Arabidopsis thaliana: one gene and its partner. The protein of the gene in region 1 interacts with the protein of each later gene in a pairwise test. Each region holds a gene or a part of one and is shown on either strand. Other genes may lie near its edges. The genes, in order: AT1G14950 and AT5G57860.

Evidence for each region.
Region 2: the proteins of AT1G14950 (region 1) and AT5G57860 interact in a two-hybrid assay, tested with the Arabidopsis thaliana proteins (one large-scale study listed by BioGRID).

The regions. Positions count from the first base shown.
Region 1 is NC_003070.9:5,151,921-5,167,228, reverse strand, and holds AT1G14950 (Polyketide cyclase/dehydrase and lipid transport superfamily protein), read left to right. Parts: upstream 1-8,959; 5' UTR 8,960-9,084; coding exon 9,085-9,271; intron 9,272-9,360; coding exon 9,361-9,641; 3' UTR 9,642-9,893; downstream 9,894-15,308. Other genes in the region: CPN10 (chaperonin 10), read left to right, coding at 575-679, 766-905, 1,248-1,299; AT1G14970 (O-fucosyltransferase family protein), read left to right, coding at 2,312-2,692, 2,882-2,951, 3,056-3,123, 3,239-3,327, 3,426-3,623, 3,756-3,960, 4,088-4,255, 4,466-4,633 and 2 more; AT1G14960 (Polyketide cyclase/dehydrase and lipid transport superfamily protein), read left to right, coding at 7,237-7,423, 7,621-7,895; AT1G14940 (Polyketide cyclase/dehydrase and lipid transport superfamily protein), read left to right, coding at 11,717-11,903, 12,174-12,454; AT1G14930 (Polyketide cyclase/dehydrase and lipid transport superfamily protein), read left to right, coding at 14,194-14,380, 14,484-14,764.
Region 2 is NC_003076.8:23,435,775-23,451,988, forward strand, and holds AT5G57860 (Ubiquitin-like superfamily protein), read left to right. Parts: upstream 1-1,779; 5' UTR 1,780-1,955; intron 1,956-2,145; exon of another isoform or gene 2,146-2,181; 5' UTR 2,182-2,216; coding exon 2,217-2,219; intron 2,220-2,499; coding exon 2,500-2,685; coding exon of another isoform or gene 2,686-2,700; exon of another isoform or gene 2,701-2,831; coding exon 2,832-2,871; intron 2,872-3,254; coding exon 3,255-3,313; 3' UTR 3,314-3,629; downstream 3,630-16,214. Other genes in the region: ADCL (D-aminoacid aminotransferase-like PLP-dependent enzymes superfamily protein), read right to left, coding at 1-649, 738-904, 1,141-1,187, 1,378-1,513; eIFiso4G1 (MIF4G domain-containing protein / MA3 domain-containing protein), read left to right, coding at 3,981-4,154, 4,813-4,884, 4,990-5,097, 5,188-5,397, 5,499-5,596, 5,716-5,803, 5,896-6,246, 6,334-6,576 and 1 more; MPS1 (multipolar spindle 1), read left to right, coding at 8,203-8,370, 8,577-8,634, 8,767-8,913, 9,031-9,087, 9,290-9,369, 9,460-9,508, 9,626-9,739, 9,832-10,024 and 2 more; AT5G57887 (uncharacterized protein), read left to right, coding at 11,057-11,311; AT5G57890 (Glutamine amidotransferase type 1 family protein), read right to left, coding at 11,874-11,978, 12,066-12,201, 12,297-12,396, 12,483-12,593, 12,676-12,713, 12,786-12,856, 13,512-13,666, 13,743-13,848; SKIP1 (SKP1 interacting partner 1), read right to left, coding at 14,142-14,715, 14,813-15,141; AT5G57910 (ribosomal RNA small subunit methyltransferase G), read right to left, coding at 15,485-15,691, 15,775-16,009, 16,111-16,181.

The DNA of each region.
Region 1 (15,308 bases):
TTATTCAGATTTGTACTCTGAAAATTAAGAGCATGTAATTCCCGCAGAGGCACAATGTAATAAACATATAGCATAGCAAAGCAACAATCCGGGGAAAAACTTTGGTTACCACCTTGAAAGAAATGGGGAAAACTGACAGAGCAAGAAGCTTTCCATCATCAGCAGAGACGTTTGATAAAAGAAAGGTCAAGATTTCATTCCACGAAAAATCTGCCGAAAATAAACATCTCATTCTGGATGTGGTATATGAAATGGGATTGTACATGGAGTTTGAAAAACTTGGCAAAGAGAATCATGGAAGGAACTAACCATTTGAGCTGCAAGGTCATACAACACTTCCAAGAATTTATTTAGACAAACACAAATGCGACTGGTTTTTTTTAATGAGTGAGGCCCATTAAAGAAATAGTATGATATTATAGGCCCAAACAATCCCAAAACCCTTGGCCTTTTTCTGTCGCGCTAAACCCTACGATCTAGAACCTTCCGTCTTATGTGTCTCTGCCCCAAATTAAAAACTCAGAAACCCTAGAAAATTCCGATTCATCAACTGAGAGAGAAGAAGAATTGAGAAATGATGAAGCGTCTGATCCCAACGTTCAACCGCATCTTGGTGCAGAGAGTCATCCAGCCCGCTAAAACCGAAAGCGGCATTCTCCTACCTGAGAAATCCTCCAAGGTAAAAGAGCTTTGATTTCACGATTTGATTCTTCTGATTTTCGCCTCTTAGATCTGAAAAATAAACATATTTTTGGGTGATTGCAGCTGAACTCAGGCAAGGTGATAGCTGTTGGACCTGGATCAAGGGATAAGGACGGGAAATTGATTCCGGTCTCTGTGAAGGAAGGCGACACTGTTCTTCTTCCAGAGTACGGTGGTACACAGGTCAAGCTCGGCGAGAACGAGTAAGTTAAACCCGCTTCTTTCTTATTATTGCCCTAATATTCTGATAAAATTCTGATCTGATCTAATTGAACCTTTATGTTTAGCTAATCATGTTCAGGAATCATTATCCATTAATTAGATTAATGGATGGAACTAAGGGAATTACTTGTAAGACTGTGAAGATATTGAAAATTTTGTAACAGAGGATTTAAAAACATTTTGATCAATGTTTAATAATGCCAATTTGAACACCAGATTTACATATTGATTGGTGGGTTGATTTTAGAAACGAATAAGAAATTACAAATGAAGAAGAATTTGACTCAAAGTGAGTAACTTTTGTGTTTGTGTGATGGACGCAGGTACCATCTCTTCCGGGACGAGGATGTTTTGGGAACTTTGCACGAGGATTGAAAAGGCTAAGCTTGCCAACTTAACCACGAGGGTTCATGTTGGTGTTTGTGTTATGAGGAGAAGTCATTTATAAATTAGTTTATCTTGAAGATGTGGTTGGACTTTGTTGTCGTTTATCATTGAATCTACCTTTATGAACCTGTCTTTGAATTTTTACAAATGGGCATCAATCACATGGATAACCCAAGTGTTGCATCTTCTCATTTTGTGCTTTTCCGTAATCTGTGGATGCTTTTCGTTTACGTTTAGGCAGCAACTTCAATAGCCAATGTAGACGATAGCTTAGTTGACTTTGCTTATTCATGATCATGCTATAACAAAAGAAATAAGCTCATTTGGCCGCATGGCTTTTTTTATATAGCATCTCCTTCTTCACATATTGACAACTGAATCAGGTCGAGAAGTAGGTCCATGTCTATGCATTCTGAAAGTTGTGTCTTTTGATTTCCTTTTCACAATGGTTGGAAAACTACTAATTTTGGATTTTCAGTTGTTTAACCCACTCGTTTGGATGATAAGACAACTGTAGTATATTGTCTTGTCGCACCTTCAAATTTAGTATAGGTTGGTTGATTGAAAATATTTCATCTTTCTAACCAAAAACTGAAAAATGTGTATGAAACTCATTGCTATTTTTGGACAAGTCTCTCTGCCAATACAAATTAGACCATACGTAGAAACCGATGCATTGAATTCTCACGTTTAACAATAGTTTTCCATAGAAACTGAAATCAAAGAATTGAAGAAAGAAAAAGACTAAAGAACTATAACACATAAGAAAAGCCAAATAAATACTCAAGTACATGTGATTAATCGATCATGCTTCCACCGCACGAGCGCATACATACATAACATAAATAAAATTTCTCTCTCTTTTGCTTACTTCACTCACAGTTTCGCCGCCGGGATAAATCCGTTCAATCGGCGTTTGCCACCTGCCATTGTTACAAGCAATGCATTATATCGTTAATGGCGTAGCGCATTGAGAAGAGAGAGAGAGAGCAGGGAAACAATGATTTCCCAGGTGGAGAGAGATCTGTCGATTCAAAATCGGCTTCCGGGAAGCGATCACACTACTCCTTCTCCGCCAACATCTCCTCATCTCTGCCGGAGCCGGTCGAAATCCTCCTCTGTCTCCGGGCAACAGCAAAGTCGGAACGTCGCTCACCGTCTCTCATGGATCATTTTATCTGTTCTTCTCCGGCGTCAGGGAATTCTCCTTTTCGCTCCTATCATCTACATCTCCTGTATGCTTTTTCACCTACACGCGGCGTCGTTTGATGCCTCTCCCATTATCCACCGCCGTCCTGCTCCGGGATCCGTCTACCGGAGCCCTCAGGTTTACGCTAGGCTTCGCGGCGAGATTGAAGCCGATAATACCACGGCTGATGCGGTGAGGTTTGCCTCCGTTTTATCCCGCTTGTGATATCGTTTTGAGAATGTGGCCATTGTCGAACATAGATTGATCCAATTAGAGTATAATATCTAGGAGAACGTATAACAATGTTGAACATAGATTGATCTCTGTTCTTTTCTTGTTCCCATTTGTCATGTATCGTCAATGCAATTGTATTCATTTAAGATATCAACAATTTGGAAGCGTTCCTATAAAGGTGTAGAATGGAAGCCATGTGTGAACATGTCTACTGGAGGTATTTTACATTGTTCTCCTAGTTTCTTCGTTAGTGTTCTTTGTCCTAAGTAATAAGTTGAATCAATTAGGCTTTCTTGTTGTTGTTTGTGTTAACAATTGTAGTTTTACCTGTGTCAAATGGTTTCATATTTATTGAGGCAAATGGAGGCTTGAATCAGCAGCGGACTTCGGTAGGTTAATCATCTTACATCAAATTGATTTTTTTCACACAAGCCTTTCTTGCTATTGTCTGGCAAACTTGTCAAAGGTGAAGCTGTTGACTTGTCTATTCCATGTTTTACTTAGATATGCAATGCGGTTGCTGTGGCAGGCTACCTTAATGCGACCCTTGTAATTCCCAACTTTCACTATCACAGCATATGGAAAGATCCGAGGTTTCGGATATTTGTTTTCTTATCTTCTCCTGGTGTTATAAATTTAAGCAAAGCCATCCCTGTTTCAACTACTTTCTGAAAAAAGGTTTTCCTTGCAGTAAATTTGGGGACATCTATGATGAAGAGTACTTTATCGATACCTTAGCAAATGATGTGCGGGTGGTCGATACAGTTCCTGAATACTTGATGGAGCGTTTTGACTATAACTTGACAAATGTCTACAACTTCAGAGTTAAAGCATGGGCACCCACCTCCTATTACCGGGACTCAGTCCTGCCAAAGCTGCTTGAAGAAAAGTGAGTCACACCTCTTTTGCTAACTAATAAACTTTAGTTTCCATAATAAGCTGTCTTGTTTTTGTGTAAGGGGCTCTTTATTCTGTTATACTACACTGATTTTGAATTGTTTGTTGTCTTTTGACGGCACAGGGTTATAAGAATTTCCCCATTTGCAAATAGACTTTCGTTTGATGCTCCTCGAGCTGTCCAGAGATTTAGATGTTTGGCGAATAATGTAGCCTTGCGATTTTCAAAACCCATACTGACCCAAGGAGAAACATTGGTGAACAAAATGAAGGGTCTTAGTGCAAACAACGCCGGGAAATACGTTTCTGTGCATCTTCGTTTTGAAGAGGTTTGTAACCTGTAAAGAAGAAACGCATCAGGAATCTTTCACTTGTCCCTTTATCATGGCTGATTATTCTGAAAACAGATCTGTATCTAAGGTGAGAGATATAATACACTATAAGAACATGTTGCAGGATATGGTTGCGTTCTCTTGTTGTGTATTTGATGGTGGAGACCAAGAAAAACAAGACATGATTGCCGCTAGAGAACGAGGATGGAAAGGGAAGTTCACAAAACCGGGCCGTGTGATACGACCAGGAGCTAACAGGCTCAATGGGAAATGCCCTTTAACTCCTTTAGAGGTAAGCATAAATACTTTAGAACCTGGACATTACTCTACTTATCCACGATTGTGGTCTATATTAAGTATTAGTGTTACGAGAATATTGTTGTATATTATTTATCCATGGACACTGCTGTGGAATAATCAGAGTAGTTGTGCAAACCCTTGAGCATGTGAGTAGATTAACTTGCTGATATTGGTTCAATTTTCGTTCTTGTAAACCTATCAGGTCGGTTTGATGCTTAGAGGAATGGGCTTCAACAAAAGTACATATATATTCCTTGCCGCTGGCCCGATATATAGCGCAAATAGAACTATGGCCCCACTACTCGAGATGTTCCCTAATCTACAGACAAAGGAGATGCTTGCTTCTGAGGAAGACCTGGCTCCTTTTAAGGTTTCTACGATTTTCCACTGTTTGTTCATCCAGGATGAGTCCTTTCTGACTTGTAAACTTATGTGTCTGTGTTTAGAACTTCTCCTCGAGAATGGCTGCAATAGATTACACGGTGTGTCTCCACAGTGAGGTATTTGTGACAACACAAGGTGGAAACTTCCCTCATTTCCTCATGGGGCATCGGAGGTATTTGTTTGGAGGACATTCAAAGACGATTCAGCCAGACAAGCGAAAGTTAGCCGTACTCTTTGACAATCCCAAGTTGGGGTAAGAACTCTAACCTCTTCCACCTACAAACATGCTTTTTTGGTTAATAATATCTGGTTGATCCCTCAATGGTTGTTTCTGATATTACGGCAGATGGAAAAGTTTTAAACGGCAAATGCTAAGTATGAGGTCCCATAGTGACTCCAAGGGGTTTGAGCTGAAACGATCAAGTGACTCCATTTACATATTCCCTTGTCCTGATTGTATGTGCCGGAAGAACAAAACAACAGCATCAGCCACCTGACACATTCTTTTACTGGATTCTTCTTGTGCATTCTTTTATTTACATGTGTTGCTAATTCTTTCAATTCTTTGGCCACATCCGCATCCAAACAGAGCGAGAGCGAGACAGAGAGGACTTCCCAAGCATTCTTCTTGGGGGAGATTTTTTAACACATTGAAGCTGATGTATCTAACACGAGAAACTGAGATTAGTTCCCACGTTTGTTTCTGGGCGGAGAGGATAGCATTTGGATGTTCATTTGTGTTTTGCAGTTTGAAAAGTTTTTTGAGTTTTGTATAGTTGGTGGTCTAGTGTTGGGTTTGCCCATAAATAAATGTAGATCATAGGGGAGAAGAGAGCTGCCAAAAAAATTTGTACATTGATTGGTTCCTTTTTGGTTTAATCTTGTTTACATTTCATTTTAAATATTATCTTTCTTATGGTTCTTCCAAGTGAATGTGGTGAGTCCAATGTTTTTTACTGTCTGTCATTTTAGTTTCCTACGAAAACAAGGCCTAGAAGCTAGAACCATGTTTAGTAATAAGATCTTGAATAATATTCGTCTTGTTAAAAATGGCCACTCTCGCTTTGTATGCGCTTGATTAACACATGAACCTACATGCTTATTCCACAGTTGGCATGCCAGATTACATAGCTCTATAAGTTCTATTGAAGAAGGGCTATGAATTGGAATATGATTGGTACGCAATTGAGACTCTTTATTGTGCACCTTGACGCTTTTGCATGCTTTTGTTCTGAACCATATCTTATTAGGGAAGGAGGGGGACTAAATGCTAATCAATCCTTGTTTAGTATCTCTCGCTACTTTTGTGTCACTGCCATCATGCTCACATTTGAATGAGTATACATCTTCGTGACTCTGCTAGTCTGCTTACGTAAGTGGTCATTAACCTCGCCGTCGATGGTGGTTATAGACTTATAGTGTGGTTAAGCCTTAACCACAACTATTTCGGGGTTCTGAAAAAAACCCGGTTTAGTGTTACCTGTTTTATGATGAGCTTGGGCCTTTGCCTTTAACAATTGGGCCTTTGTATTGTTTTTTTGTTTTTTTTTTATTTTTATTGTTTTTTACATCTGAACGTTTGAAGTTGTTTATTATTTCAATGTTTACTTAAAAAAGTTATATCATCCGAATGCATGTGCCATTATTAATTTCCGAATTCAATGTCAAAAGATCTTACATGAGATCATCAATAATTCAGTATCGAGATACCCCTCTATTATTGATCTTAGTTTAACTTGAAAGAAGGACTTAGTTTAATTATTTCAAATATTTAACTTTGAACATATATTTCTGGTCTTAGTATATATGGTTATTTCAACTTTAAAACTAATTATGATGTTGACTTATAATGTAATGATTGAGTCCTATTTAATCTAAATATGACATATATATATATATATATATATATATTATATTGAATGATTTTTAACATTCTCAACTTACTTTTTTTTCTAAAATCTCTTTTTCGATTGATATACGACATTACTCAATTGACTAATCTTTTTGAAAAATTTGTGTGAGTCAGCAAATGGCTGGCATCTGTTTTTATATTGTATAACTAGTATTCGCGGTTCATTAAAAATACAAATTTAGTGATATTGTGAGAGACAAGAATATACGCAATTATTTTTCTAAGCATGTTGAATAATCCACAATTTGATATATGGTGTGAAATGATTGCATTAATATTAGAATATTAGCTAATCATTTCTAAGGGTGTAAATTTTTCCATCTAAAGGGTACTAGTAAAAAAAATTCTATAACGAATTTCTAAGGATGAAAATTATAACAATCAACATATTAACTGATTAATTTAGCTAACTGAACACATGATCATATAGCATATATATATATATCAATACGTGACTATAATTGTTTATAATATATGAACCGTCAACAATTTAAAAGCCGTATAAAAATTTTGGTAATAGTTTCCTTGTTAACGTAGCTTGGTGTTGAGCTTGTCTATATAAAGGAAGGGAGAGATCATAGTATTTGCATCAGAAAACAGGAATAAAAGCACTCAAAAGTCAAAGCGCGCGCGCGCACACACACACAAAAAACAATCCAAAGCTAATTGATTCATCAATGGCGATGTCGGGAACATACGTGACGGATGTGCCTCTTAAGGGATCGGCGGAGAAACACTATAAGAGGTGGAGGAGCGAGAACCACCTCGTCCCTGAAGCTATCGGCCACCTCATCCAAGGTGTCACCGTCCATGACGGCGATTGGGACTCTCACGGCACCATCAAAATCTGGAACTACACTCGTGGTTCGTATTTATACTCTTTTTCTCTTTATATAATGATACAAATGACTTAAAGGGTACACCTAGCTATATGTGATATTCATGAGTTTCCCTTACAAGTTATTTGTTTTAACATGGAAAAGTAGGGTTTGGTTATGGTTAGATATAAATGTGTATGTTGATTAGTATACAATCTTGTGGTGTTTGCGTGTGTGGTGAAGATGGGAAAGAGGAAGTATTGAAGGAGAGGATAGAGATGGACGACGAGAATATGGCGGTGACGATCAATGGACTCGATGGTCACGTCATGGAGGTCCTCAAGGTTTATGTCACGACGTTACATTTCATCCCCGAGTCCAAAGATGGCTGCGTCTGCAAAATTACTATGGTCTGGGAGAAACGCACCGAAGACTCCCCAGAGCCCATCGAATTCATGAAGTTCGTGGAACAGATGATTGCTCACATGGACGACCACATCCTCCAAAACCAGGAATGATGGATCGATGCTTAATCATCATCACATCCTCCTTTTATTTATCTTAATTAATGTGTGTCCATCTCGTACATGATATTAATATCATCATGGTGTTGTATGTCCAACGTTTATTTATAAAAGTATTGTTGTTCGTTTTTTTTTTGTCTTTCTTTTTAGTCACCATGATGTTCGTTTATTTAATACGTACTTGTACAATCTGGTATGAGCCCAAACTTATCCGGAAATAGTTGGGGATCTAGGTCAAGCGAGATAATCCAAAAGTATTACAAAAAGGCCGGTGCAGTGGTACACAGTAACATAAGAGATTTTAATATTTTCAAATAAGTTAATAACCCTAATTCTAAGATCAATAGTTAGATAACACAAAGTATGGCAAATAACCTAAAGCGAAGAGTGGGAATAGAGATGATGACACATAGACCACACGTGTGGACTACCAGTATCACTATGACGTTGAGTAGCATTAAATAACCCAAAACGGTCGAAGTTTCACCTACTTCTTTTTTTTGTCCGTCTCTTTCGCTCAGGTCTTTTTTTTCCCCTTTACTCGCTGTTTATCTAATTATCAATCTGTGATACATATATCTCCACTTTTTGTAACTGCATTCCCTCATGGGTTAAGCTTTTATCGCAAATATTGTAATATTTTTCTGCTTTGTACAACATTTTTAACAAATAGATAAGTATGTTCCCAAATAGTTGGTTTATTTCCAACTGTTTTCCCTAAGTGTTTGTAAATTGTAAATCTGATTAACGTGAGGAACACTAACCATTCCAATTCAACCGGCCAGCAAATCCCAAAAATTTGTTCCGACCATATATAATAATTTGATAGTTTTCAGCACAATGGATGGCATGCAAAATATTTGTTGGTCATTTTTATTATAAATTCGAACGTCACATTTTTTAGTGGTAACGTTACATCTGTATACAAAAAAGACAAACAAGATTTAATCCAAACTCTACAGCACATATATTTTAAGTAAAATCTGATTTTGATTTTATATATGTTTAATTCTTGAAAAAGTCATACATATATATCTGGTTTCTTGTAATGTTGTGACGAGTTTGTGTATATAAGCGAAGGGGGATGCTTTAGTTTTTGTACACCTCCATAGAAAATAAACAATTGGCATTTGCATAAACACTTTCAAAAACAAGTAATCAAAAGTATTTTAGAAGCTTCATCATGGCGACGTCAGGTACATACGTGACAGAAGTTCCTCTGAAAGGGTCAGCGAAGAACCACTACAAGAGGTGGAAGAGCGAAAACCAACTCTTCCCTGACGCCATTGGCCATCATATCCAAGGTGTCACCGTTCACGAGGGCGACTGGGACTCCCACGGGGCCATCAAGTCCTGGAACTACACATGCGGTCCTCTATCTCATTCTCTATTTGTATGAATATGTGTTTATTACTAGCTAGGGTTTCTATTAATGAAAGGTTCATGTAAATATATGAAGATGGGAAGCAAGAGGTGTTCAAGGAGAAGAGGGAGTTAGACGACCAGAAGATGGCGGTGACGTTTAGAGGGCTGGATGGTCATGTGATGGAGCAGCTTAAGGTGTATGACGTCATCTTCCAATTCGTCCCTAAGTCTCAGGAAGGTTGCGTCTGCAAAGTCACTATGTTTTGGGAGAAGCGCTACGAAGACTCTCCAGAGCCCATCAAGTACATGAAGTTCGTCACGAGCTTGGCTGCTGACATGGATGACCACATTCTCAAGAACCAGAGCAAGGCTTAATCATCATAGTGACCATACTTATGAAGATAAAAATAAATAAAGAAACATCCTAATATATATGTGTGTGTGTCGTTTGTGTTTGTCTTGTACATGATGAAACCGCCTCCTTGTCTTGTGTACATTTTATGCTGATAATAATGGCGGTACGTCTTGTAAACTTATGCATGTATCATCTCTGTCTTTGATGATTTGATGTTGTTATGGTGTAGTATTGGTGTTCGTAATATATAAAGAGCACAATATTAGGATGTATAGTCTCACTGTATATCACATAATTAATTTCATAAAGAAAGAGAAAAAGTATTAAAGAAATTTGTACGAGGTAACAACTTGACTAACCTGCAGAATCCAAAATATCCATTAATGAATCAACAAAAGCAGACATACAAAATAAAACTTACAAATCTTTTGCATTAACTATAGAAACAAACAAACCAAACCACATGTATGCTCTTATACTGATTAAAAGTCATGTAAATCCTATAACAAAAACATACTTCTAGTTAAAATAATTTACGTATTAAAACTACATAAAACAATAAAAGAATAAGAATGTTATTAAATAATCATCTTAATTTGACATCTTATCAGATTTCTTTAGCTAAAAAAAGTTTGTTTAATGGTTGGACTTGCAAGCAACACCATGAAGGTGGTATAATTATAGTTATTTTTTAAATTAATTTATAATTATAGCTTTTTATCTCAACGAAGTTGCATCATTATTCCAAATAGGTCTTCGTGCAACAATATGATCCATGTAGCGCTTGCAAATGATGCATTACTGATTTTTGTCTATCATATATTATCACATTAGTCTTGATTTTTGTAATCACTTCTCAGCTTCTTCTACTCTAATTATGCTCTGTACAATTTATTTTTTCAGTAAAAATAACCACAATCAAATAAATATTCAATGAATAAGAGAAGATAGATTTGTAGTAATTAAACCATAGTAATTTTTCTGTATGTAGGTTCAAGTCTTTTGAATTTAGAAGTCTATAACTTAAAAGAAACGGAAATTAAGATATGCATGTGTGATAAGAAAGTACTAAATCCGAAGAAAAAAACGTATGGGTGCAAAGAATCTATAAGGAGGAATAGATGGACATGAAGACACTTAGTCCACACGTGTGGAGCACCAATATCACTATGATGTCGTTGATCTGCAAATTACGCAAAACCTCTTATGCCTAGGTTTATTCTCTTTCTCAGTCGGTATTTATCCAATGAAATGATTAATCATCCAGTCAATAATCGGTTACCTAATACCTATGAGTCTCTGACTATATATGAATAATGACATTCTAACCGAGTCGAAACTTAATCCAGCTTTTACAAACTATCTTCACATGTCATCACTTAAAATGATATGGAGGTTGTACTAGATTTAACGATATTTCCAAGCGATTGGATATTTTAGATAATTCAATTTGTAGTTTATAGATTAAATATTTCCTCTTATACATATATTGAACGTTTGAGTTATGGTAAGGAAAAACTAACTTGAATTGGTCGGAGACTAAAACCTAATATGCTTTAAGAGACAATGGCGTGTTCGTATAATAGGTTGTTAGTCTATGTTTGGTTTGGGATTTTTGTTGTTAGAATCAGAGTAATAGTTCAACTTTCTATTAAGGTGTTTGTTTTTCAAATATTAGCTTTACTTTTTAATTTTGATTTTGGAGTTTATAAAATTCAATCTAGAAACTACAGTTAAAACAAATTAGATCTAGAACTAGAGTTAAAATAGTCAACAATCTAGCTCAAAAACCGGTCGTTCAGAAAGAAACTATATATGGGTGCACAATTTTATTTCTGGAGTAAAACTAAGCATTCATACTCAGGATCTAGTAGATGGTGAACAAATGATTTTTTTTAGCTCTAATTAAAAGAATTAAACCCTATATTTGAAGGAGACAATTATGTATAATGTTACATATACATATATATATATAGCCGTTTTGCTATTTGTAGTGTTGTGGTGAGTTTCGTGTATATAAAGGAAGTGCGACACTTGAGTATTTGCATCAAACAAAACACTTGACACATTTCAAAAGAAAACAATCAATCGAGAAATGGCAATGTCTGGAACATACGTGGCGGAGGTACCGCTTAAGGGATCGGCGGAGAAACACTACAAGAAGTGGAGGAACGAAAACCACGTCTTCCAGGATGCCGTCGGCCACCACATCCAAGGTTGCACTATGCATGACGGTGACTGGGACTCCCACGGCTCCATCAGATCATGGAATATCACATGCGGTCTCTACTTTACCTTCTCTCTTTTTTTGTAGTATTTTGGTAGTTTTAGATTTTTGGTCCATATATTTTTTGGGGCCAAGGAATAAGGTAGATAAGTCCTCTCCCAGATGTTGGTAGCTAGGCCTCGAACCTTCTCAAACTCTCCTCCAAGAGTTTCAAAGTAGGGCTACCGACACCGGGTGTCCACTCTCTTTAATCATGTTTGGTAATACGAGGATTGACGATCGGCTAATTTGGTCTAGCATTGTGTGTGTGTGTGTTTGTATGAAGATGGAAAGCCGGAAGTCTTCAAGGAGAAGAGAGAGATAGACGACGAAAAGATGGCGTTGACGTTGAAAGGGCTAGAGGGTCAAGCGATGGAGAAGTACAAGAAGTATGAGGTTATCTACCAGTTCATTCCCAAGTCGAAGGAAGGCTGCGTCTGCAAAATCACTCTCATATGGGAAAAGCGCAACGAAAACTCCCCCGAACCCATCAACTACATGAAGTTTGTCAAGAGCTTAGTTGCTGACATGGACGACCACGTCCTCAATGGCCAGAACAAAGCTTGAATCCCCTCTATGGTCATCGTCGAATGGTCTTCATCTTTATGTGTGTGTATCTTTTGTGTATCTTTACGTACGTACGTGACTTATCATCCGCCTCTTTCCCCCTTTATACATGTTATGCTAATAATAATGGCGGTCTTGGAAGCCTATGTATCATCTCTGTTTGATGATTACATGTTGTTATGATGTTTTCGTGGTGTAAGTGTGTGTTCGTAATAAAATAGTAATTGTAAGACGTAAAATAGCCCATAATATTAGGATGTATATATATACCCTCAATCGTCATTATCTATCACATAAGTATCTTCACTAAAATAGGTAACCTTTTCAAGAAGCAGATCAATTGACAATTTAATTTTGCTCCAACCTTATCATCTCTTGTATAATTTTTGGATGTGCATTTATGAGAATCTCAATGTGATTTATGCGATCACTCCTTAATTTGTTTGATGATTGGACTCGCAACACTATGAAGTTGGTATAATTATAACGTTTCATCTCAACGAAGTGACTAATTCATCTCAAAGTAGTCTTCATGGAAACAATATGATCCCTACCATGCAGTGCTAATGTTTAATACTAGGTTTCCTTTTCTTTTCATATATCACATTGAGATTCTCATAAATGCATATTCACTATGATCGTCATAATAAACGTCTTATACAAGATCGTAAAAAAATTATTCTCGTTTACCGTAAAGTCTTTTAACTAAAAAAGGGGAATATTGAAATATTCATGCATGTGGGTGTGATAATTAAGAAGTACGAACGATATGACCAAAAAAAGATAACCAAGTAAAGACTGAAATTTAGAAATCTATAACAATCTGCAGCTTTTACAAAGAAAGAATAAACTAAACATAGATACCCTAAATAGATTATTCTAATACGTACTAAAAAACTTATAAAACCTGAACACTCTACATATATTCTTAATTATATTATATACAAAATACTAATATATATTGGATAATCATTAATCCCACATTTTATCATAAACTCGGATCAATCCAATTCCAACATTGATTCATATGTGGGAATATCAATATATGCATAACTAATTTTGATGGACACGTTTCGTATCTAATTGAAGGACAGTTTTCAGTTGTTATATATTCATATTTTATGTAAATTAAAGATACTTCTTAAGTCGATGGTTATAACATAAAAGGGTGCTTGTGTCAAAACAAAACAAAAATAGGTTCAAAGAATCTATAAGTGTGAGGTAATTTGGACATGACGACACATGGGATACACATGTGGAGCATATCACTATGACATCTATGGTCATTAAATAACGCAAAACCCTCTTGCCCGTCTATTTCGCCCTACTTTTCTTGCTTCTTTTTATCCAGTTAATAATCTGTTATGTGTTATCTATTAATAATGACATATTCCAACCAATTCAAACCTTATATTCAAGCGCTTACAAACTATCCTTACGTATACATTTCTTTAACTTTCACTTAAAATAAAACAATTATTTGGTTAAAAGTCACTTAAAATGGTACGGATGGACTAAGCATTTCATATTCAGGATTTAGCAAATGTTAAACGAATGAAATCTTTATCTTATAGTTTAAAAGATATAAACCACCTATAATTAAATCTTTATCGCCATAATTTCGTTTCTTGTTAGTGTTGTGGTGAGTCTTAATTTGTATATAAAGGAAGCGCAACACTTGGGTTTTTCCATCGAATAAAACACTTGACACATTTCAAAAGAAAACAATCAATCAAGAAATGGCGATGTCAGGAAAATACGTGGCGGAAGTACCGCTGAAAGGGTCGGCGGAGAAACACTACAGGCGATGGAGGAGCCAAAACAATCTCTTCCCGGACGCCATCGGCCACCATGTCCAAGGCGTCACCGTCCACGATGGCGACTGGGACTCCCACGGCTCCATCAAATCCTGGAACTACACACTTGGTCCATACTTTACTCTATCTCTTTCTGTGTTTGGTAACACGCGAGGATTGGATGATATCTATATATTCTAATGTGGACTAAAAATGTGTGTGTGTGTATGAAGATGGGAAGCCGGAAGTCATCAAGGAGAAAAGAGAGATAGACGACGAGAAGATGGCGTTGACGTTCAGAGGACTAGAGGGTCATGTGATGGAGAAGTACAAGAAGTATGAGGTTATCTTACAGTTCATTCCCAAGTCGAACGAAGGCTGCGTCTGCAAAGTCACTCTGATATGGGAGAATCGCAACGAAGACTCCCCCGAACCCATCAACTACATGAAGTTTGTCAAGAGCTTAGTTGCTGATATGGATGACCACATCCTCAAGGGCCAGAACAAAGCTTAATAACCCTCCATGGTCATCGTCGTAAATCATCCTCATGCATGTGTCTTTTGTACTTGTCTCGTAAGTGCCTTTATCATCCGCCTTTACATGTTATGCTAATAATAATGGCGGTCTTGTTAAGCAATTGTATTGTATGCTTATGTATACCATCTCTGTCTGTGATGTTATTATGCGTGTTCGTAATAAAATAAGTGTGTTAGTTATACGATTTTGTGTAAGATATAAAGCGGATGTATGTTAGTCATTTAGTCTCATGACTCTCATTATCCATCTCCTAATAAAAATTTCATCAAAATAGATAAAGAAAGTTTTTCACGAGGGGAGAGAGATTGATTAACCAAAATCCAAAATATCCATAATTCTGAAACAAAATCAAACACATACAAAAGTAAATATGCAAATATATTTTTCCGCCTAAAGACTCTCACGTCTCCTCCTCTCCCTTCTATAGAACGTATAAACCCTAGATTTTAGAACCCTCTGTTTTGCCAATTGACCAATTCCCACCTCAAAGTTGCTATCTTTTTTTCTGAACCATTTCTAC
Region 2 (16,214 bases), on another chromosome or scaffold:
AATCACAGGTCTGATCGGAATTCCACTACCAATAAGCATCATCTCATCTGCTTTCTTTCCATCTTCGACTGTCACATCCATTACTTTCACAGTTTTAAGAATCCCCTTGCTTACAAGCTGTTCAGCGAGTGTAAGTGTTCTCTTTGCTGTACATCCGCTCAAAACGTTATCAAACCGCGGCATCACAAGCTCCTTACCACCATTAACAACAAACGCCACATTCATGTTCGGGCCTTCTGCAATAAACCCATCTTTACACACCCAAATACCTGCATAAGCTCCTTTGGCCTCAGCTTCCATTTGTGAGAGTACGTTAGGGAGGTAGTTAACACTTTTCACCGTGGCAAACTCTGGAGGCTTTATGGGGATGGACGAGGTCACTACCTTGACACCTATTGGGTTAATGGCGAAGTTCGTTTTTATAACAATGGCATAGAGAGTTGGTTTGAGACATTGAGATGGAGATAGGAGGAAATCCCCTGGCCCTGCAGAGAGCCAGTATCTTAGAGATCCATCTCTACATCCAGAAACGCTCACGGTTTGAATGAGAATTCTTTTAATAGTTTCTCGATCGAATGGAAGTGGGATCTTAGCCATTGATGCAGATCGCAAGATACGGTCAAGGTGCTGATCCAATTCATAAAGGTATCTGCTTATTCGTAGGACAACAAGCGAAGCTCAGATGATTGAGTAATAAGACAAATTAGAAAAGGGGGCTACTATTTAAAGTGACTAACCCATTGATGATCAGGGCAGTGTCAAAGACTCCATGACCACGGTGAACCATGTGATCATCCAATGGAAGAACCATCGCTGCTGGATCGGTTGTAATTCCATCAACAACACTTGAGTACATGGCCAAGAACTGTTGTCCTCCTCTTGCTAGTTTTAGCCTCTCACCAACCTTTTAAACCAAACATACTTCACTGATACTCAATCAATCAACGCCTCTAAACATAAACGGATAACAAACAAATGTCGCAATCCTTCATTACGGGCTGCATCTATAATTTCATTGACAAAACACAGAAATGTCTGGTGGTTGTGTCAATAAACATCTCTAGCTAACAAATTGTGAACAGTTTCAAGAGTTAAAGATATGATTGATAAGTACAGACATAAAAGAGAAACCATAATTACCTCATAGCTAGATAAAACAGGAACATTCCACGACTGAGAGCTTGAATCTGTGGAGAAACGAATGCAGATTTTTGTCATCAATTCCAGAACACTTATGGAATTTAACGATCAACAAATTGATCTCTTTTTTAGGGTAATAAGTGTACATTACCCTAAAAAGATTATAATAAATGCATCACCAATCACAATCCAGAAGAAAAATCAGAAAAGAGAGAACACAAGGTAGAAATGTCGAACCAGAACACATGAGAATCGTTCTTCTTCGTGTCAACCGACGCGGGAATCGAAAGCCATGTCTTAAAGGACATGGAACTTGAGAGAGAGACCTGAGATTCCAAGTGTTAACTGTAAACTCCAGCGACAAACCTGCCATGGGGTTTGGGACTCAAAAGAATAGAGAGAGAGAGATCATTCGGAAATAGCAACTTGCTTTGCATTATTATTATCTCAGTCGTGAACTGGAAGAAGACGAAAAAATATTTGGGCCTAACTTCACCACAAAAATAAAATAAAGTTATTCGGCCCATAAGCCCAATATGACTTTTCGCATTGTATTTTAATATTCAATCAATCAAAAATAAAAGCCTAAAACAAAACAAACCCTCTCTGTCTTTTAGTGGGTTTTGTACGACGCCTAATCGATGTTAGTATTATATCTGTAGCCAAACAAGCCACCAAAGTGGTATTTTTCTTCTTCCTTCCTTACCTTGTAGGGCTCTGAGCTCGAGTTATAAAAAAGCCAACTTTGATTTCTTTGCCAGTATTTCATCCTTAATCCATTCTTGTGGTCACTTTTTCGTCCTTAACCCATCTAGGTAAGTCGATTTCATTGTTTGTTATTTGAGTCAGTAATTTTTGAAAATCTTTGCTTTTTTTTCTTTTCTTTTGAATATCAAAAGAAGAAAAGATTTGGGGGATAACTAGATCATCTCTTTAGTTAAATTGACTCTTTGAGGTGTGTCAATTGTCACTGATAGTCTGATTAATCTTTTATTGGCATCTTAGAACAGATTTTGATTCTAAAGTCTTGTGAATCGGCAGCGGAAGAAGAGTGAATTGTTCATCCTTATCTTGCCATGGTAAACATTCTACTTCTTTTGTTCACTTTGATGGGTTTGATTGTTCTTAGTATATTCAATCCTTTGCTTATTTGACGGGAAGTAGAGATGTTTTTGGAATGAGAACATCTTTTCCCTTCTTAATTCCAGCTTCCTGATCACATTTATTACTGTTCTTCTTGGAGTAATAAAAGTTGAGATACTTTTGTCTTGCAATAATTTTGCTTTAATCAATCGAACAAGTTAGATTTTGGCCATATTGGTTGTAGTATTGATTAGTCTTGTGTAATATTGTTTGCAGGCTATGTATATTCGTGTGAAGCGCATGAAAACTACTTACTTTATCCAATGTGATCCAACAGAGACTGTTTTGGATGTTAAGCAAAAACTGTTTGCTCTCATTGAGCAACCAGTTAACAATCAGCGTCTGGTCTTAATGTCTACCGAAGAAGTATTAGAGGATTCGAAATCCTTAGCAGATCAGAAGGTATCACACGTTTGACTATCTAATATATTTATCTTTTGAGTCATTGCTCAAGTTTAAAAGAAGAACTTGGTCACATAGCCACTGCCTCCGTTTGCGTGTATTTGAAAGTTATAAGCTTGTCACCATCTTCTTTTTTGGTTGTTCAGGTTGAGAATGATGCAGTTGTGGCTTTGACTTTGAAGAAAGGTTATACCTTAGATCCTCTTATTCTGAAATTTTCAATTCCTTGTTGAAATGTCGTAATGGATCATGCATCTTGGTTAATTACTTATCACACTTCATCTTTCTATATGTTATTTGGTATATGAACCCTTCAAACTCCATTGACTTCAATTGAGCCTGTTATTGTGAATCTTAGTTATTTTGTTATCACTGGATAATCTTTTGGTATGTTTAAGAGTCTTGCCTAACTTTTGTGACCGTGATATAGCTGAATGTGATTCCTAATCTTATTATTCTTTTAGCCTTGTTTCGATTACACAACTGTTGAGGATGCTGTATTGCATTCTGAATCTATACAGCTATGAACGGCATAATGATTGCATTGCATCTCTTTTTTCCATGTGCAGATGATAACGAGTTTGAGGATGTCAACATTGCACAGCCCACCGACTTCTCACTTTCATGAAGAGTTGCTTACTGTATCAAGGAAACTTCAGGAGAAGGTATTGATTCAAAACACAAGGAGGAGTCTATAAACGCCAGAAGTTGTTTCTTTTGCGTCTCTGCTTGTGTTAACGCCTCTTTAGTTTGTTACAGACAATTGTTGTAAGTAAAGATATTGAGATGTGGAAGTTTGATTGCAACTTGCCAGATTAGTAGTTTTTACAGTCTCTTAATATGTTTACAATGAGCTAGAGGTGCAGCTAACACGAGCCGAGGAAGCTCCATTATTACCATTTGACATTGTTCATTGACGGAAAACCCAATGAGGGTGACAAAATAAAGAGACAAAAAAACAAAATGAAAGGACATAACTGTAATCTTAACGGAAAAAAACGTTAAGGCTATAAGTGTGTCTGGTTCGGGAAAAAGAGAGGAAAAAAACCCTAATAAAGAGAAGGGATTGTGTCTCCTTCTCGACTTCTTCTTCTTCTTCTCATTTCTCAATCTCAACTTTTCTCTTCTCTTCTCTTCTTCGCTAACGGCAGGAGAGAGAGAGACCCAGAAATCCGATCCCTCCTCTCCTTGGATTATCGGAGTCAGCGATTCATCGTCGCTGATAAAGCTTCTACCTTTCTCTTCGATTTTTGTTGTGAGATTCGATTCGATCTTAAGGCGGATTAGATCGAGGTATGCAGCAAGGCGATCAAACGGTTCTGAGCTTGAGACCTGGTGGCGGTCGAGGAAACAGACTATTTGGTTCCTCTTCTTCTTCTTCGTCTCTCTCTTTTGGCTCTCTTTCATCTTCGGATCTACCTCTCCTTCGTCCTCATGGTGGTGCTCCTGCTTCCTCTTTTCCCTTCAAGGTACCCTCATTTCTGGGTCCCCTCTCTAAATTTGGATCTAACTCCCTCTTCTTCCTCTGATTTAGAATTTGTTTTATCTCTCTTGTCTTAGCTTGAGCTAAAAATTTATCCTTTTTTACGGGTTTGTCGCAATCAGCAGCCTTTTTGTTTGGAATTATAATCTTTGGTATATTGCTGATTTGATTCTCTCAAATGTCTGAATTGGCTAATATCTTTCTGATTTGCGAGTTTTAATGCTTTGTGTTTGTAATAACTACTGAGCTCATGTTGGATTTTGATAGGTGTCTGCAACATACATAATTGAACTTCATAGGTTTATATGTCAATACGAGTAATGCAAGCAGTTTGTTTGTCCTGATTCTTAGTGGCGCACGCAAGTATGTGTTTCTGCTGTAAATATGGACGTATAATGATATGTAGGCTTTTAGGTGGGCATTTTGTTAGCTGCTATTTGCTCATAAAGGACCTACTGACATTTCTTCTAGTTTTTCTTTAGTTCATCACTCATTTCGGCCTTATGGTTAAAGAATTATTCCTCTCTTTCTTTTGTACTGAGTACTCGTGGTTCCTTGTCTCCTTTATACGTTATTTCTTATATGATTTTGTGTATTGGGTGTTAGTTAATGAAGATTTATCCTGGGTTGTGCTTTTGTTTCAGGGTGGAGACTCGAGGTTCGATGGCCGTGAACGTGTGAAGTACACCCGTGAGCAGCTCCTGGAGCTTAAAGAGGTGATTATCCCAGTTAAATAATATAGGATTAAAGCCGGTTTAGTTTCTGCTGTTCGTATTTGTTCTTCCTTAGTTGAGGTCATTGACGTCTGTGCATATATACAGACCACTCAACTCTCTGATGAAATTCTGAGAGTCCAACGGGAAACTGCAGCTGAACTGTTTGGTGAGGAAGGGACTTGGGCACGTGGAGAAAGTGTCGTAAGCAATTTGGTATAGTTTTGTTGAAACATAAATTTTGCATTTTGGTATAGTTTCATGAAGTTTCACTTTTAACACATATCTTTTATTTTAATGGTTCAGGTTCCCGTTCAATCCGCAAGTCGCTTCTCTGAGCCAGACTCTCGTGATTGGCGTAGCCGTTCTACTCAACCTCCACCCTCTGGGGAGGAAAGGTCGTGGGATAATCTTCGTGAAGCTAAAGATTCCAGGTATGTTGAAGCAAGTCAATATAATCGTCAAGACCAACCTAATTCCCAGTTTTCAAGGGCAAACATATCATCCAACCAAGGGGTAATTGATCAATAGATGAATGTTTTTCCCTCTTCTTAGCCCTTTACATTCTGGCATGATTTCTTATTTTTCTTACTTATTTGTATATCGTGTGGAACCAGGGTGGACCAGCTCCTGTCCTCGTCAAAGCCGAAGTTCCTTGGTCAGCTAGAAGAGGAAACCTTTCTGAAAATGATCGTGTTCTGAAGACTGTGAAAGGGTAATGCCGTTGTGACAGTTATTAGTTGTCTAGACTTTTGTATAACTTTCCTTTACTGCCAACATGAAATCTTTAAAATAGACTATGCACACTTACAAAGATATACTTTTCTTGTCCAGGATACTGAACAAGCTAACCCCTGAAAAGTATGACCTTCTCAAGGGCCAACTTATTGAATCTGGCATCACATCTGCTGATATCCTGAAGGTGTATGCTATGTCTCAAGCATAGATGAAGTCTTGTTTGAATCATCTAGGCTGTTTGTGTGGCTAACCCGTGTTCTTTTCTTTCATTTGTAGGGTGTGATTACCCTTATTTTTGACAAAGCTGTCCTTGAGCCGACCTTTTGCCCTATGTATGCAAAATTGTGCTCTGATATCAACGACCAGCTGCCCACCTTCCCACCTGCAGAGCCTGGGGATAAGGAGATTACATTTAAGAGGGTTCTACTGAATATCTGTCAAGAGGCATTTGAGGGCGCTTCTCAGTTGAGGGAGGAGCTTAGACAGATGAGTGCTCCAGATCAGGAGGCTGAGCGGAATGACAAAGAAAAATTGTTGAAGCTCAAGACTCTAGGAAATATTCGTTTGATTGGTGAGCTTTTGAAGCAGAAGATGGTCCCAGAAAAGATTGTTCATCACATTGTTCAGGTTAACACCTATAAGCTTACACATTTTCTTAGACTTCTTTTATTTTGGTATCTAGCATTAACCTTTCTTAATTTGTTCTGTGCACAGGAGCTTCTGGGGGCCGATGAGAAAGTTTGTCCAGCCGAGGAAAATGTCGAAGCTATTTGTCATTTCTTCAAAACTATTGGCAAACAACTTGACGGAAACGTGAAGTCAAAACGGATTAATGATGTATATTTCAAACGCCTACAGGCTCTGTCAAAGAATCCTCAGTTGGAACTGCGTCTGAGATTCATGGTTCAGAATATCATCGACATGCGCTCCAATGGCTGGGTTCCAAGGCGGGAAGAGGTATTCTAGGTTTTACAAGGTTGAGACTTGTTTCCTGCTCCATTGTGTAGTGATTCTAATGTTCTATTTACATTACTCGTGCAGATGAAAGCAAGAACTATAACCGAAATACATACTGAGGCAGAGAAGAATCTTGGTCTCCGACCAGGTGCCACTGCAAATATGAGAAGGGGTATGGTTTCTAGTGGTGGGCCTGTGAGCCCTGGCCCTGTCTACCCTGGTGGGCGACCTGGTGCGGGTGGCTTGATGCCTGGTATGCCTGGGACGCGAAGGATGCCTGGGATGCCCGGAGTGGACAATGATAACTGGGAGGTACCCCGGACAAGATCAATGTCTAGACGCGATGGGCCAGGACCTCTACATTCTCCAGCAGTGAGCAAGTCGGCCTCAATGAACACGAGGCTCTTACCTCAAGGCAGCAGTGGCATTATGAGTGGCAAGACAAGCGCACTGTTGCAGGGAAGTGGTTCAGTGTCGCGTCCAGTTACCGTGTCAGCAGAACGGCCAGCACAGTCAGTTGCACCTCTGACCGTACCAGTTCCGGTGGAGAAACCACAGCCTAGTGGTCCCAAGTTGAGCGAAGAAGTGCTCCAAAGAAAAACAAAGTCGCTTCTCGAGGAATATTTCAATGTCCGACTACTTGGTGAAGCTCTGCAGTGTGTAGAGGAGCTTGGTTTGCCGTCATATCACCCAGAGTTTGTGAAGGAAGCAATATCCCTGTCTCTTGAGAAAAGCCCGCCTGTCGTTGAGCCAATTGCTACACTCTTGGAGTATTTGTTATCAAAGAAGGTAGTCGCACCCAAGGATCTTGAAACTGGGTTCTTGCTCTACGGTGCTATGTTGGACGACATTGGAATTGATCTTCCTAAGGCACCAAACAATTTTGGTGAGATTGTGGGAAAGCTGATTCTGGCTGGTGGTGTGGATTTCAAATTGGTTAGAGAAATTATAGGGAAGATGGAAGACGATAGGTTCCAGAAGATGGTGGTCGATGCAGCTGTACGCATTGTGGAGTCAAGCGAGCAGGGGAAGTCCTTGTTGGCCTCACAGGCTGCAGACATAGAGGCTTGTCGGAATCTGTAAAAGGAATCATTACTTGACGATTTTGCTCTCTCTGGGTCTTATGCTTGTGCGATGAATGTTGTGTTGTAAGCTTGAAGGAGGAGGAGAAAAGGATTCTCAGAACTCAAAAATAGTTTTGCTCTTCGTTGAAGCTTTTTCTTATGACATTATTCTCACCACTCTTCTTTGTGGGCATGAGTCCATGTCCTTTTTTGTATTCTTCTGTGACTTGTCTTTTTTTGACCTTTGCATTTTTGTTTTACGGTCTCAGTTATTATATTCAGTTGATTGTTGTTGAGACTTGAGACCCCTATAAACTGGTCGGTTCAGATAATTACATTGGAAATGTTTGATCATCGTCTTCCTATTATTCCTATCTGATTCTGAGCTAACATTAGTTGAGTAAATGATTCATTCGACCTTAAGCTTTATCAAGTTTGATCAATGGGCCTGAGTGGGCTTTGTAAAGCGTCACAAAAACTCTCCCGCGCAGGACAGAGAATCATTAGTTATTATCCTGAAAACTAAAATACTTTTTTTTTTTTTTTTCAATTTTAAACAAAAATGAGTTCAAGCGTAGCTGAAGCAAATCACACAGAGAAGGAAGAGTCGCTGAGACTGGCAATCGCTGTTTCTCTGCTACGATCTAAGTTTCAGAATCATCAATCTTCTTCTTCTACTTCCCGTTGTTATGTTTCTTCTGAATCTGATGCACTTCGCTGGAAGCAGAAGGTGAAACTTCTCGATTTTTTTTTATTTTTTTTTGCATTTGGTTTTAATGGCCTTCTCGTTGCGAACTATCTGATATATATATCTGGTGAAATCTACGAATTCTAGGCTACATTTCGATTTCTGTTCTTCGTTTAGAAATCTAGGTCAGCTCTAATTGTTGCGAGACGGAGGTTCTAACATAGTGAGATTTTCGATTTTGAAATTAGGCTAAAGAGAGGAAGAAAGAGATTATCAGACTCCAGGAAGATCTCAAGGATGCTGAAAGTATTTTTTTCTGCCTCTCTTAACTTTTGCAAAAATTCGTTTCTGTATTTATTGATTCTTAAAATGGAAAGGCTGCAAGATGTTTCTAGAACTGATTGGTCTTTCTATTAATGCATTTTGTGTCAATTATAGGTTCTTTTCATCGTGACTTATTCCCAGCGAATGCTTCTTGCAAGTGTTATTTCTTTGATAACTTGGGAGTATTCAGCGGTAGGAGGATTGGAGAAGCCTCTGAATCGAGATTTAATGATGTTCTTCGTCGTAGATTTCTCAGACTAGGTCTCTTTTCCTATTCTTAGGTTCATCAGTCTGGTAGCTTGAACATTTTGTATTCTCTTTGTTACCTTTGTGTTTGTGGGCTTAACTTATCAGCTTGTGTTGTCATTTTATCCTTAGCGCGGAGAAGGAGCAGAAGGAAGTTAACTCGATCATCTCAAAGATTGCAGCCCTCAGGTTTGTTTAGGGTCTTCCTTTTCCTGGTTTAGCGTCTATTATCTCAGAGTTTCAATTTCCTTAAAGCAATACAAGAACATATCATAATATGACGTAATGTGCTATATGGGAGAGAGAAGTGGAAAACAGAGTCTATGTAACCAAGCACCATCATTTCATATTCTGGGACTCTTTTTTATTTGAGTTGAAACTTTGACTGCAGAACCGGATTATGAAGAGGAAGCAGAACATCTTAGGATCTCTATAGATTTTCTCCTGGAACTGTCTGAAGCAGACTCCAATGTTAGGCTTTGTTGCTTAAGTTTTTTTCTGGTAATATGCACGCACTCTTAAATGCTTTGCAACTCTGAACTTGCTTCTTATATTCTGCAGGACTCTAACTTCAGCAATTGGTCACATCAGGCTGTAGATTTCATATTCGGTAATATTATTCAAAGTTCCCGAGTTGCAAACAAATTATTTAAGTCCTGAGCTGCATTTCCTTTAATATAAACCTGGTTTGCACTTATGAATTAATGCTCTGTTTGGCATACTCAAGCTTCACTGAAGAAGTTAATATCGATGGGAAGGAACTTAGAATCTGTTGAAGAATCTATCAGCTTCATGATTACACAGTTGATCACAAGAATGTGCACTCCCGTCAAAGGAAATGGTAACTTCAACAGTTTAATAATGATTCTAACTGTGTTTTCCTTCCTAATTATCATTTTTCTACGATTTGTTTTCCTTCACCATCTGTTTTAGAGGTGAAACAACTAGAAACAAGTGTTGGGTTTTATGTCCAACATTTGATCCGTAAACTTGGAAGTGAACCATTCATTGGACAGCGTGCAATCTTTGCTATTTCTCAGAGGATATCCATTTTAGCCGAAAATTTACTATTTATGGATCCATTTGATGAATCATTCCCAGAGATGGATGAGTGCATGTTTATACTGTAAGTATTTCAGATTCAAATGAGATAATGTGTTTCTATAATACTTGGGGATGCTAAGCTTGATTACGTTGTCTAATGAACATGCAGGATACAGCTAATTGAGTTCCTTATATGTGACTATTTGTTGCCATGGGCGAATGAAGCATTTGACAATGGTAATAACTAAAGGTATCATGTATAATATATTAACAAAAAATCAGAGTGGCGCAGCGGAAGCGTGGTGGGCCCATAACCCACAGGTCCCAGGATCGAAACCTGGCTCTGATAGAGTTTTAAATTTCTTTTTTTTTCTCTTTATTTTTGACATCATTTTTTCTTTTCTTAAGCTCGTTTTCTAGAATAATAGTCGTTTCCTACCTTAGCTATATACAGAATTACAATCATAGGCGACAAAAAGAATCACAAAAATTGCTGAGATTGGTTGTATTTTATTCTATGCAGTTATGTTTGAGGAGTGGATAGCATCAGTAGTACATGCGAGGAAAGCAGTAAAGGCCTTGGAAGAAAGAAATGGGTTGTATCTCCTTTACATGGACCGAGTCACTGGGGAATTAGCTAAACGAGTTGGTCAGATCACATCTTTCCGGGAGGTGGAGCCAGCCATTTTGGACAAAATCTTAGCCTACCAAGAAATAGAATGATATCTTTCCAGGTTAGCATCTACTCTGTAGAACTTTCTTTTCATTGGGAACCCTTTTTTACTCCTAATTGATAAAAAGATGGTGTGTGGAAAGCAAGTGACTTAAAGGTACCACTAGTTGATTTGTTAATCATATCACTGCAGAAAATGTGAGAACTGTAAAGACTTAGGTCGATGTCGGCTCTGACCTTTGAACCTTTGGATGATGATGGTTTTGTCATATTATAATCTTGGGTCCACATGGCATTATATGTTTATCTCTCGTTTCTCAATCAACAACCCACCAAATTGTTATTAAATATGTCCTGCAGAAATAATATCTTCTTCAACTACTCTCACGTCTTCTTTTATAAAAGCAAGCCATAGGACGAAAACCTTATCTTATAGCAAAGATGCGTGACATCAAAGGCTTACTCATCCTATCGATCATCTTACTCCTGGTCTTGTCTCAGTCCCTTCTTTTGTGTTCAGGTCATGTCGATCACGAAGCTGGTGTGACAAGGAAGCTTGGAGTCTTCATAAGGAGAAGGGCAAGAAGATTCAGAGGACATCGCCCCACATCTGCTTCCATTACACTTTTGTCAGGCTCCTTCCATATGACTGCTTGCCTTGCCACCTCTAGTTCTTGCAGTTCTCTTCTTTTCTAGGTTCCATCTACTATCAAAAGTAGTTTTCTTTTTCTACTCTCCTTACAAGAATTGTGTAGTACATAGTAACACGTCTTTGTAATGCGTTTATGTAAGTTGAGTTCTACATAAGCATGTATTTGTACAAATTTAATGCTTGAAAATTGTGAGCTTATCATGTTGTCGTTTTCAATAAACCAAAGAAAATTCCTTTTGAACAGCTGCTATATTGATCATGTGTTTTCTAAGTACTCTGTAGGAACAGAGCCAATGTGCCGTATCAAGTTGTTCTAGTCACTTGTTCACTTGCAAGATGACTATATATACCACAACCGTGAATTAGACCAAGGAAAGCCAGTATGACAATAAGAAAGTGAGATCTGATTAGATCTTATCTCATGTACTGTTATGTTCCAACAGCACTGAATACTATCGAGCCTTTCCAGATTCGTCCTGAACTGAAAGAACTAGACACATTCCGGGTAGAAACAATGGTAAGATGCCAAGGAACATTTTGCATTGGCAGACATTATTACAGGGAAGCACTAATCGAACACAGCTGATTTTCTCATTCAGGCTAAGCCTATGCCAGCTTCTCAGATTCCTTTTTCTCTACGAGTTTGATGAAATTGCGAACAATTGTCTTGCCTTCGGTTGTTATAATACTCTCCGGATGAAATTGAACTCCCTGTGAATTTTTTTTTACAAGACTTCAAGAGCTCTGTTTTGAATGGAGGAGGCAAGAAGCTACATTAAACACTTGAGTGGGTTTTACCTGTATATGCTTGTACTTTCTGTGACGGGCAGCCATAACCAGACCATCTTCTGTCCATGCTGTAACCTCGAGTTCATCACTAGGAAATGAATCTTTTTCGATCACGAGACTGTGATATCTACCTACAAGGAAAGGGCTGAAACCAACAGACCAACAAGATTTGTTTCATTACACATTCTTACAGACTTATGATTAACTATATTATACAACACAGAAAAACCTGATTCGTACTTGGATAATCCAGAGAACAAGCCTTCTTCTCCTTTCTCATCATAGTGAACCATTGAGCTTTTCCCATGCATAACACCAAATGGTGACCGCACAATCTTTCCTAATCAATGTTCAAACAAAATTGCATTTAAGTTGTCGATACATAACATAAAGAATAAAACCATGTCTTCTTTATATGCAACTAACCTCCAAATGCTTCTCCTATACACTGCAAACCCATACATACTCCAAATAAAGGAACAAGTGGTCCGAGTTCCAAAACAGTTTGCAAGGAAATCCCAGAGTCTTGAGGGGTACCTATCAAATTCAAGAGAAGTGTTAAATTCTTCTCGAGCACTTCAAAAAGACACACCACATAATCAGAGGCCAAACTATTTACCAGGTCCAGGAGAAATCAACAATCCTCTTGGCTTTTTTCTGCATAATAAAGGAATCAACACCAATCGATTAGCCATATTACGTTTTACACAGAATGTATTTTCCTCTTACCTTTTCAGCTCCTCAACTGTAAGTTCATCATTGCGGTAAACTTCAAAATGGCACCCTAGCTCTCCCATATACTGTAGAAAATATATACAATTCAAAATTTTGTTTATACTGAAGCAGAAGAAACCACATCAAGAGAAATTAATAGTATGCACCTCATAGGCTTACATAGAGAACTAGAAGTAAGACATGATCAAATTGTAAATTTGGGATCTATGTGGGATATTCAGAGCAGCCAAAATTTCATGATAAAGTGATATATTTCAACTACGAATAACCAATCTAAAGTCAAACATAGCAACTCACAAAATCACCAATTCAAACTTTGAACGCGAATAAAGATTCTACTTAAAAGACCAGTCTTTAGGCAGAAAAGAAGTAATGTATTAGGTTTTGCTGGATCTAACAATTACTCGTTACAAGGGCAAACAAGCAACGAGGAGCTTTTCCAAATAAAACAAAAACACAATTCTCCAGAGAAGTAGAGTATTTCGACATAACGACTCTGATCACATTAACAAGAGAGAATCTACACTAGGTAGTCTAATATCTATTAGCATGTAGAAACTAGATTGGATTGTGAAACAATGAGATTCTAACAATCAATCACAATGCACATACCTGAATACATTTCTAATAAAAATGCAAATGCAGCTGCTTTTACACCAAAAAAGATTCAAAAACATTCACAGAGGTAGTGATGATAGGAGATTGTGTTCGAAATGAAACCTGGCAGAGATTGTAAGTGAAGCTGTCGTAATTATCAATCACGATGATAGGACCAGAGGAATTGACAACAACGGAAGATATCGAATTCGATTCCGCCATTTCAATCGAAGCTTTCGCAATAACATCTCTACGACTCTTCCACAAAACCGAAACTCCTATCACAGAGGAAACAAAAAACACAGATAAAAATCGAAACTTTTGATTCGAATAACGCTTCCAGAGAAGACTTACTTGTTGGGTTCGTAAGAGAGTTAACGAGAGACTGGTTTAGGCGGCGAGTGGTGAAGCCATACTTCGGTTGAAGAAGACAGGAATTGTACAATGTAGTAGCCGCCATTGTTTTGGCTCGAAGTTGTCGTTTGGAGAACTGAGAAACTGAAGAACTCGTAACGTTGTCGTTTTAGCATAGAAAATTCCAAAAACTTAAAAATAAATGGGCCACTCGGTTAATATTTGTTTAGACCCGTTAGTAATCGGGTTTAAATGGGTACCCGTTCAAACATTACAAATAGCCCGTTTAGACCCGTGGGCCTAAGGTCCATTTTAACAACACGACATATAACAAACAACCGACCCAAGTCAGAACTATGGGCAGCTTTATTATAAAACATGGCAGTGTGTGTGTAGAAATCAGATTCTCATGGCTTGTATGTCAAATCTCTCGTCATAGAGTCTCCAATGTCCATACCTCTCCGTCTGCGCCACATCCCCTGACCTTGGCACATACACATCTGGCTTCTTTACCTCCTTAAGCCATTTAAGCCTTGACACGTTGCTTGTAATGTCACGGCTTGACAAATGCACACACCCAAACAAGTCCAAGTACTCTAGCTTGGGACAACCCTCACATATCGAAGCAAGACCCTTGACAGATAATCTAGAGAACTGAATCTCCAAATGCTCTAGATTGATCATATGTTTCCCAATCGCGTCAGCTTCTGTGTCTCCGTCTTGAGGACAAGCGTCTAAGTATTCTGTAGGAACAGAGCCAATGTGCCGAGAAGACCAATCCATAAGATTACGTTTCAAGATCCTCAGATTAGGACAGTTTCTACCAATCATCACAAGAGTGTCGTGAGATATCTCGTGACAGTAACTGATATCAAGTTCCTTTAAACTCCTGCACCGAAACGCTATCTTCGTCATCGATGCGTCTGTCACGTTAGGACTGCTTCTAATGGCAAGAACCTGTAGATTCGGGCATCTATTGATATGTCCAAAATCAGACTCGTAGCCATAGAAAATTCCAAAATAGAGGATATCACAAACTCAATCACGATCTTGATAAGAAAGATATTTACCTATCGGCTGCGTAAGAGAGAGCGTGGTCGCTGCAATGGCGGACGCGGATCTTAGTGAGACCACCTTCGCTCCAATCAACGACTGATCGTAGCATTAAGTCTACCTTCTGCTCGAACTCAGGGGACCACAAGTGAGTCGACTCGGGATAGGAATCGAACCATGGCTCCAGATCGAAGATAGACCAGAGATACGGATCTCTGCAAACAGTTAGCCACGATTTTTGGACGAACATCGGACCGGTCCATAGCTCCTGAATCGTAAGCCTTGAAATGATGTTGATGAGTATCTCTGGAGCCAATCCGCCCCAATCAGACCCGTCTTCTTCCATAAAGATTCTTGTTTTGTTTTCAAAGATCGGTTCTTTGTGTTCGGTAATAATGTAGTTTAAAGTTACACGAAACGTGTCTCTTTAGACACGTGTCAATGCATCTGACCGTTAATTTTGTTCCTTGACTTTTGGATCACTTCCATAAATGTCGTTTGCTGACACATGTTTCGGTATAGAAATGTCACGTTTGCAATAAGCCACCATTGGATAAGGTTTTTAAGTTTTCAAGTCACAATTGGATATGTTGTTCAATCAAGATAAGTAAATAAGCAAGCTAACTTTGATGTGAAGCTATGTTACAACAAGATCTATGAGGAGGAACAAAAGGTTCCGTCTTCTTATTTTAGACTCTGAGAGCTGCGACAGGATCTTGCCATGAAATTTTCCTCTTATTTGATCCGTTTCCGCCATTCCTGCAAGAAGATGGCTTCACATCTTTCTGCTGCATCTCAATGCTACTGATCATTAATCTCTTACATGAATTACTTTCTTCAACTCTCGTGTTCTCTTGATTATTGTCCACTGCCTCTGTTTCTTGCTCTTCTTCTCCCTATATAAATCAATTTATGAGTAAAGACATGTTTGGTTTCTAAGTCTCTTCACAATCTGATTAAGAGTGAAAAATGTGCTTACAGATATCTGATTTAGATCAAACAAAGGAACTCTTCTCTTAGGACTGGTTTTGGTTTCATCGTGAGCCTTTTCCGAGTGGTTTAAGTCAGGAAGCGAAACATGCTTAGTTTCCGCCTCACTTTTGTTACTAGGAGACACTTCCACTCGGATCTTCTTCCCACCATTTGATCTTCTGACCTTTTTAATCTCTTGTGGCTGGTCTTGTCTCAAATGTCTGTATCTCCGTCGCAGAAATCTGTTAAAGAGGTTATAAACGAACGATATATTAACAAGTGAGGAAAACATCAAAGGAAAGGACTAATGATATATTTTGTCAAGGATTGAAACTGTCTTTACCTGACTTCAGCCATTAGTGTTGCCTTTCTTTCTCGCACTGCCTGTAACCTTTTTCTCATAGCTTCGGTTTCCTAGTGTATATAATCAACCAACACACGTTAACA